Linked DNA regions of Bombyx mori. The protein of the gene in region 1 interacts with the protein of each later gene in a pairwise test. Links are inferred from orthologs where the notes say so. Each region holds a gene or a part of one and is shown on either strand. Other genes may lie near its edges.

What was found.
Region 2: the proteins of BRCA1-associated protein (region 1) and high mobility group protein 20A interact in a two-hybrid assay, tested with the Homo sapiens proteins (2 studies listed by BioGRID and IntAct). The link is inferred for Bombyx mori from reciprocal best matches to the Homo sapiens genes BRAP and HMG20A.

What each region holds. Positions count from the first base shown.
Region 1 is NC_085122.1:14,176,481-14,180,989, forward strand, and holds the start of BRCA1-associated protein, read left to right. Parts: upstream 1-1,527; 5' UTR 1,528-1,834; coding exon 1,835-1,910; intron 1,911-2,019; coding exon 2,020-2,260; intron 2,261-3,198; coding exon 3,199-3,363; intron 3,364-3,484; coding exon 3,485-3,660; intron 3,661-4,509. UniProt on the Homo sapiens protein: Negatively regulates MAP kinase activation by limiting the formation of Raf/MEK complexes probably by inactivation of the KSR1 scaffold protein.
Region 2 is NC_085114.1:10,481,627-10,485,905, reverse strand, and holds the start of high mobility group protein 20A, read left to right. Parts: upstream 1-1,187; 5' UTR 1,188-1,336; coding exon 1,337-1,610; intron 1,611-1,704; coding exon 1,705-1,864; intron 1,865-1,963; coding exon 1,964-2,097; intron 2,098-3,087; coding exon 3,088-3,194; intron 3,195-3,311; coding exon 3,312-3,419; intron 3,420-3,770; coding exon 3,771-3,930; intron 3,931-4,279. UniProt on the Homo sapiens protein: Plays a role in neuronal differentiation as chromatin-associated protein. Acts as inhibitor of HMG20B. Overcomes the repressive effects of the neuronal silencer REST and induces the activation of neuronal-specific genes.

The DNA.
Region 1 (4,509 bases):
ACCCGAAGAAAGAAAATTTACCGCTTTTGAAGCACTGGGAAATTTGTACCAGTTCAGGCGTATTTTTTTTGGAGTAACAAATGGTGTTTCGAGCTTCCAACGAACAATCGATTAGATTATAAGAAAAGAGAAGCTTCAAAATACATATGCGTATCTTGATGATATTGAACTATTTCTGGCCGTACTCTTGAAGAACACGATTATAACTTAGAAAGTTTTATGAATGCCGCAAAGAAATACGGTTTAACACTGAGTATACAAAAATGCAAATTTTATCAAAAGTCAATTAATATTCTAGGCTATAATATTCAAAACCACATAATTAAACCTGACAATGAGCGACTCAAGCCACTGATTAATTTACCTCCACCAAGCGATTTACCGATCTTAAGAAGGACACTCGGCATGTTCGCACATTATTATAAGTGGATTCCAAAATTTTCTGAACGGATCCACTCACTTGCTAATACGACGATTTTTCCACTCACAAGCGAGCAAATTAAATGTTTCGAAGGCTTGAAAAATGATATCGCAAAGTCTTCTATACATGCAATTGATGAAAATATACCTTTTACAGTGGAAACTGACGCTTCCGATCATTCCATTGCAGCAGTACTTACACAAAATTCTAGACCAGTGGCAAAACAACAGTGTCGAATCGTCATCTAGCACCATTGGGTTCAGAAAGGGTAGATCTGTGAATAGATAATGAACACACTATTGATTATCATAACGTCGCAGAACCACTTCCGGAAACAGAAGACCAAAACTTGGAGATTCCTTCATCTAATGAAACGGGACCTGTGGTACATGATAATAGCAGAGAGCTAGAGACAGAATTACCATCATCATCACCGCCGGAACCAACACTTATGATTTACTCCATCTTGCTAAGTCTAATTTAAGTAAGTCATGGCAAGCCTACTGGACAGAGTCCAGTAAGACGAAGGGAGGCTTATATGCTTCAATCCAACCCACCATTCCTACAAAACCATGGTTTTTTAAATTCAAAAAGATTTCCAAACCTGTTATATCTGTGCTCTGTAGAGTTCGTTTAGGTCATTGCTGTTCTCCGGTATTTCTACATAAAATTAGAATACGTGACAATTCGTTGTGTGAATGTGGTTTGGACGACGGCAGTATAGATCACAATTTCCTCTATTGTCGCTTGAACAACTCATTCATATGGGACCAAGCTATTAGCGAACTGAAAATTCAACGGCCGGTAAATGTCCACCACCTCCTCTCACTATTCCCAGACCCCCGTAAATGCTTTTATTAAGTTTATAACTACTAACTCTATAAAATTATAATTATTTGTAGTGCATTATTCTCTGTACATAATCTTTATTATAATATGTAAGTTTATAGTAACATTAATTTTGTGTTAGTCCCAGGCACCATTATTATTTCCAAAATTTGATACTTTTCATAATATAAAGTGTGTATAAATAGCTCGACAATATTCCATGTGTAGCCATAACACGACACTGGCAGAAATTGCTGAAAATATCGGCAGATTGCATTATAAAAAAAAAAAAAATATCTATGGTCAACACTCAACACAAACACATTTATTTCAGTTTCACAACAACGACAAACGTTCACAATCCGCAAAACAGTTTCGATTCCATTGAATTTACAAGTTATTACGTGTAACTAGTTATAATTGGAAGTTTTTCTAATTTGAATACCCTTTATATGAAATTCGTTTGAACGAATTTTTTAAAAAACAAAGTTTTCTTAATGGACAAATAGTATTTTTGAGTTGAGTTTCATTCTTAGTTGTGCTCCAAGAGTTTACGAAGATTTGCGATTATAAATAACTTTTTAAATGGCCGTCTCTTTGTGTGTACTACGTATTGAAATAGACGAAGAACTGTCCGAAATGGCAGACGGTGTTAACAATGGTGAGTGGCAATGATAAATAATTTATCACGTATTGCATAGATATGCTTTTGATTTTTACTTACATCTAAAAAAAAATGTTATTATTTCAAATATTCATATGATCATCAGAGGCCTCTAAGGACCAGAAAAGAAAGGACCGAGGAGCAAGGGAATCCAAAACCATAACAGTTGAAACATATGCTAGTGTTCTTAGTGGACCCAACACTGACCCAGGCATACTACCTACAAGTTCCCGCCGCTCACCTCCAGAGTCCAGCAGTATATCTGAAGACGATAACACTATTAGTTTTTTCTGTGGAAATCCACTAGTTGAAATTACTAAGGGCATATTACACTTGTACAAGGAAAAGTGAGTGATTTGTATGATTTAAAACACAGTAAGACCCTGCTTCATGCAGGGCATACATTATGTCAAGTTGTCATGTTAGAGCATAATATAGAACCCTATTAAATAGGGTTATCGCATCATCTCAAAAATTGGATTAAGGGAAGATTGGTAGAAAATTGTACAGGTACTTTACCATTAAATTTTAAGTTTTTTAATACACTATTATTAGCTTCAGACGTGTGTATGTATGTTTGTAACGGAATCTTTGAACATGATTTTGACCCTCTTCAAAACATCAGATTAACTTGAAATTTGGTGTACTTATTAAAGACCGATGACAATTCAATATTTAAAAAAAAATTGAAAAAATTGAAATTCAACTAAAAAATGAAAAAAAAATACTAGTTTAACAAAACTAACAAAATATGCTTTTATAGAAAATCCAACTAAAAAATATAAAATAAATTTTAATAAATTCCAATTAAAAATAGTGTAAGAAAAAATGATTTTATTGTAAAAAAGTGTGGGGTGCTTTTCAGGATATTATCAAACTAACCCTTCTACTCATATCTGTTCATAAAATATTTATAACTACTTATACCATGCACCCTTATATCAAGAACAGTAAGTAGCATTCACAATGAAATTTTCACTGTTTATACAATTGAACAGGAACAAAAGACTTCAGTATTCCGTTAAAGTCAAATAAATATTTACAGATCAAATTGATAACTAACAGTCACATACCTGTACTGTAACAAGTAAGCTCATGAAGGTGATATTGTGTAAACATGAGGGCCGTTGACTTGTGGAAACCATTTCCAACACAATCACAGTTGATTGTATCTCATGAAACTCATGACATGGTCTAGGATTTCAATAGATTCATAGTAGGTTCGTTTCCACAAAATTTGTTAACAAAAAAATTGTCTCATAATTACGTTTATATAATTTAACAGTGAAATGAAAGAAGCAGAAGAAGCCAAGACACTTTGCCTACTCGCAGTTCCTGGTGCTTTAGGTGCACCCGACCTGCTTGCATTTGCTGCAGCTTGTCAACAGGATATTGCACATGTGAGGGTTCTCAGAGATGGTTCACCTGATCATTACATGGCACTATTAACGTAAGTTTATTTAAGGAGCCAAAAATATTAGTGTTACAGCTGTAATCGAGTATGGTAATACACAAATTTGTTTATGAGTTTTTTGTCATTGTTATACTAACAATAATCATTTCTTTTTTAGATTTCGCACTAGTCAAGCAGCTCGAGAATTCCATGGGGCTTTTGATGGGGTTCCATATAGTAGTTTGGAACCAAATGCACTGTGTCATACAGCCTGGGTGTCAAGGGTTGAATGGGCAAAGGATGGTTCCCCACCACCATCACACACTGAGCTCCCTACTTGTCCTGTTTGTTTGGGTAAATATTCACAGTTTTAATGATTTATATTTTATACAATCTAGAGTTCTCAGTATTATCAGTATTAATGGTGGTAAGAGTGTTGCAAGCCCATAGTGAAGTGTCATGCTTTCTTGAGGGCTGGAAGACTGTTATCATACAATACAATTGCATTCAAGTCTGAGAATTGTTATTTTACACATCACATTAAAATAAATGTTCATTGCCAACAAGTAAGTAAATGAAACCAATATATTGGGTCTGTTTGGCATGAACTGGGCTGACGCTGACCATATCGATTACATGATTGGATCTTCCCGTGTCGCGTCACATGCCGTCAGTTGTGATTGGTTCCAAATCAAAGCAAATTAGCGATAAAAACTCGACAACGTACCTGTCTTTTTAAAAAAGGGTACGAAATGATAACTTTTTGGAAGTCGGTTAAAAATAGAGTTATTATTTTATAATATAATATGAGCGAAATCCTGGGCAAAACTATTATAAAACATTAATACGATTTTAAGTTTCAAATTTAACAATATTAATTTAATTTCAAAAAAGGAGAGTGAGAGATCCATTTAACTTTACCCTAAGTGTACAATGTGCAGACGCCCCTACTCTTCTGGAGAACACGTCATTTCGAATCCTCCCGATCCACTAACGGTGCTTTTAGGTCCGGTCATCGTTCTCGTCGAACCCGTCGCTTGCGACGAAGAGCTCGACGAGTAAATTAACCCTCAGACACAGCCCACTTAGTTTCTCGCCGGATCTTCTCAGTGAGTCGCGTTTCCGATCCAATGGTATATTCTGCGAAGCACGGCTCTTGCTAGGGTTCGTGTTAGCAACGTCGTCAGGTTTGAGCCCCGTGAG
Region 2 (4,279 bases), on another chromosome or scaffold:
ATCTATTTTAATTGTTTTGCTGACTCTAAAGTCCGTAACATACTACCGCAATGCACCCCAAGGAAGGTGCGCCGCACCATTTGAATCACTTTCGCTTGAGAGTGATTCAAATTTTAAACTTATCAAGGGACCGCGTGAAAAAAAAAACACCTACAGAACATTTATTCATTAATTACAAACGTCATTCCTTGTGACTTCCTCTCTAAAATCACTTAATTATTAAATATTTAACAAATTTACAATAGTGTTTTACTCACTGCGGAATAAAACTATTTTAGTTAAATAGTTCCGAAGAGATTTTGTCGGTAACCTTTTTCCCGAAATATCTAAACAGAATGTCTAAATATGTTTTGATGACATATTTTAAAGTGGTATTTATGATTAGTGTCATGATGAATAGATTATTAAGTGTATAATCTATGGTGTCATGATCAATAGATTCCGACCGAAAAATGGATTTTTCGGATGAGGGCTCCATAATGAATTTAAATACATATAGATAATAGTTTTAGGGCATCGACTTTCTTGAGATCCTATAAAATACGTTTTAATTATTATTTTTGTATGTTTTAAGCATGATAAATTATGAAATTTTATATAATCAATCATATTAAATCGATATCAAAGTCAATAAATAATGTACAACCCAAAACAGACGGCCGAACTGACGTGACAATGACATTTGGCGCGCTAAACATGGCGGATTTTCGGCCTCATTAGACGGAGACGGAGATATTTACGTATATTCATGTTTCATTTTATGTACGCACTGAAATACTGTTATATTGTTTTCCTGCGAGTTAAAGTGCTGAGTAAGAACGAGATAGATATATGTTTATGTATGTGCCTTCAAAATGGGTGCTATTTATATAAGCAATTGTACGTATAGAACAATATGTCGTGTCCCTACTATATAGGTCTATGGGATATATTCACTTCTCTGTCTCTCTATCTCTCTCTTACATTTGACTCATATCAATTAATTATTAATATTAAAAGAAAATCAGTTAAAAATAAAAAAATCAGGTAAAATATTAATCAAATTATATATGGAAATTACCTATGCTGAAGCTTAGTTGGGCATTATGCCGCATAATGCGCTCTTGTGCTGTGATTGGAAAACAGGGGATAAATTCAAATAAGACTTGACCTAAAGGTCTTAGTTACCAGATCGTAAAATCCCTTAAAAAAGTTAAGTGTTTAATCTATGGTGCTGAGGGTTTTGCTTTGTTTACCTATCTATACCTATTTTCTACTTAGTTTAAACCAAAATCCGATATTAAAGTGTTTAAGTATAGTTATTGTATTGTGTTGGATGTATTGAAGTAAAACAACAATGGAAAGCGATTCTTTAAAATCGGACGTTGTAAATACAGTGAATTCAGAAGTGCAGCCTATTAATATTGAAAAAGACCCGAAACCTGTGACCACTGACTCAAGCTTGACTCAAGTGCCTATAGTATCTAATGTTCATGTGCTTGCTGAAACGCCCGTTGCGATTGACACGGCGGGTGCTTTAAAAGAAGTTCCAAAAACATCACCTAAAAAGCCCAAAAAAAGAAAACCCAAAGCAGCTCGCGATACAACTGCACCCCGTCAACCTCTCACAGGTTTAGCTCTTATTTTAGATGTCTTATTTTTACTTAATTCCTTATTAAAATCTTTTATTTACAATTTTAAGACAAACGAATATTCATATTTAAGGTTATGTAAGATTTTTAAATGAGAGAAGAGATCAGTTGCGAGCACAACAGCCAGATTTGGGTTTTGCAGAATTGACCAGACAGTTAGCTAGCGAGTGGAGTAGACTTCCAGCTGAAGAAAAACAACAATACTTAGATGCTGCAGATCAGGATAAAGAAAGGTTAATCATTAATCAAGTACCTAATTTAAATTTCATGAGATGTAAATAATATATATTTGAAATTATTTTAAATACGAATAGTGTATTTTAAATTAACAGATATGTTAAAGAATGTGCGGAATACAAAAGAACAAATGCTTATAAAGAGTTCACAAAACAACAATCTGATCTGCAAGATGGTAGCTTATCAAAGAAGTTACGGCAGGTTCCTCAAGTAGACGCTTCAGTTTCTGGTAAATCCAATATTCTTTTAAAATTTTCTTTTTTCTTTTCTTTTTACGAAGTCGTCGTGGCCTAAAGGTTAAGACGAATGGTGCATTTGTATCGAGTGATGCACCGGTGTTCGAATCCCGCAGGCGGGTACCAATTTTTCTAATGAAATACGTACTTAACAAATGTTCACGATCGACTTCCACGGTGAAGGAATAACATCGTGCAATAAAAATCAAACCCGCAAAATTATAATTTGCGTAATTACTGGTGGTAGAACCTCTTGTGAGTCCGCACGGGTAGGTACCACCGCCCTGCCGATATCTGCCGTGAAGCAGTAATACGTTTCGGTTTGAAGGGTGGGGCAGCCGTTGTGACTATACTGAGACCTTAAAACTATATCTCAAGGTGTGTGGCGCATGTGCGTTGTAGATGTTTATGGGCTCCAGTAACCACTTAACACCAGGTGGGCTGTGAGCTCGTCCACATATATAAGCAATAAAAAAAAAAATCAATAGAGAACCATATAATCCATAAAAAATATTAGGCGCAACAATTTCTCAAAAACAAGACCAAGCATACGTCTGGTATTACGATCTTGCATGAAGAATCTAGCACATTAGTTTGATGGTTAGGACAGCTGTTATACAATACAATTGTAGTAGCATTTAGACATCCATGTTTACGTCTCTAGCCATATAAACCTACATGAGCCGTGAGCTCATTTGCTCTTTTTATAAAGAAAATAGTGCCATTTGTACCTTACATGAGATTAATTCATAGTAACATTAATATTAAATTCAGTTTAAGGGGAGCTCTTTAAGCATTCATACAGATAGGCATTACATGCTTGCAAAACTAGATGTTGTAATACAATGTTAAAAAATGTTGAATATTGAAGTACACTAAAATTTCACTATTACGTAATATATATATAAAATTAATCCAGCAACTTATTTGATGAAAAAAGTGCTTTGACAAAAAACTAACAATACTTACACTTACTCTTATAGGGGGTACCCAACCAGGAGAAAGTACAGTGTATAGTGCTTCTACAACAAACATGTCTTCACGTCAGACTACCCCACCAAGACCAAGACCATGTATTAATCCTACATCTGTAAGTTCTGCAGTTTATATTGTCAGCATAAAAAGCATAAAGAATTGTTGAATACCTACTTAAATTCAAATTGGAAGGTAAACAAAGTTTTGTAAAGTAGTAAATTTATTGTTACAGGGTGAAATGGAAATACCAATCTTCACAGATCAATTTCTGCAACATAACAAACTGAGAGAATCTGAGTTAAGACAATTAAGAAAGGCAAATTCAGATTACGAACAGCAGGTAAATGGAGCATGAATGGTCCAGCAGCTTTCTATGAGTATTTAATAGCATATTATGATGACTGACTGGCACTCACTGGTACCACCATCTTACCTATTTGGTAGGAGCTAGTGGTCATGGACTCTTGTTTGAAAGATAGAACTTCAGCCATATTTACAATTTTCAAGATGGGTGTTGTTATTCACTTCTATGTCTCTCGGCTTCCTATTTGTTGACAGATGGCCTGTCCTACCAAAAAATATGTACACCACAATATTTATTGTTATTTATACTTCAATCTTACCAAGCACTAAAATGGTGCTTATATAGATAATGATTAAAAATTTTATACATATTTTGTACTTACATCAGAATGCAATCTTACATCGTCACGCAGAAGAGGTAAGCGGCGCTACATCGAAACTCAGAGCTGAAACAGCTGCAGCAGCTGAAAGGACTGCTGCTTTGCTTGCTCATAAACGTAGTCTGGTCGCAGCCTTAGTGCAAGGTCTTCAGACATTAGCTTTACCAGGTAGTCAATGTGTAATTATTCAACACTAATTTTATTGAGTAAATTGTCATTTTATGTTTTATTTATCAAAACCATGAGTTTCAAATTGACATTGTGACCATGTATTGTCATTGAAACTAATGCTTTGACTGAAACACTAGCTTTAAGCAGTGTATAAGGGTTCCATAACCTCTAAACACACCAGGGGTTAGATGGTCTACTACATAAAGTATAGAAGTTTAGTAACAAAATCAAGAATTCGCTATTCACTAATACTGCTATGCATATTTATCATTCCCTTAAGGTTAAATTATTATTTTTTAATTGCTTAGATGGGTGGACGAGCTCACAGCCCACCTGGTATTAAGTG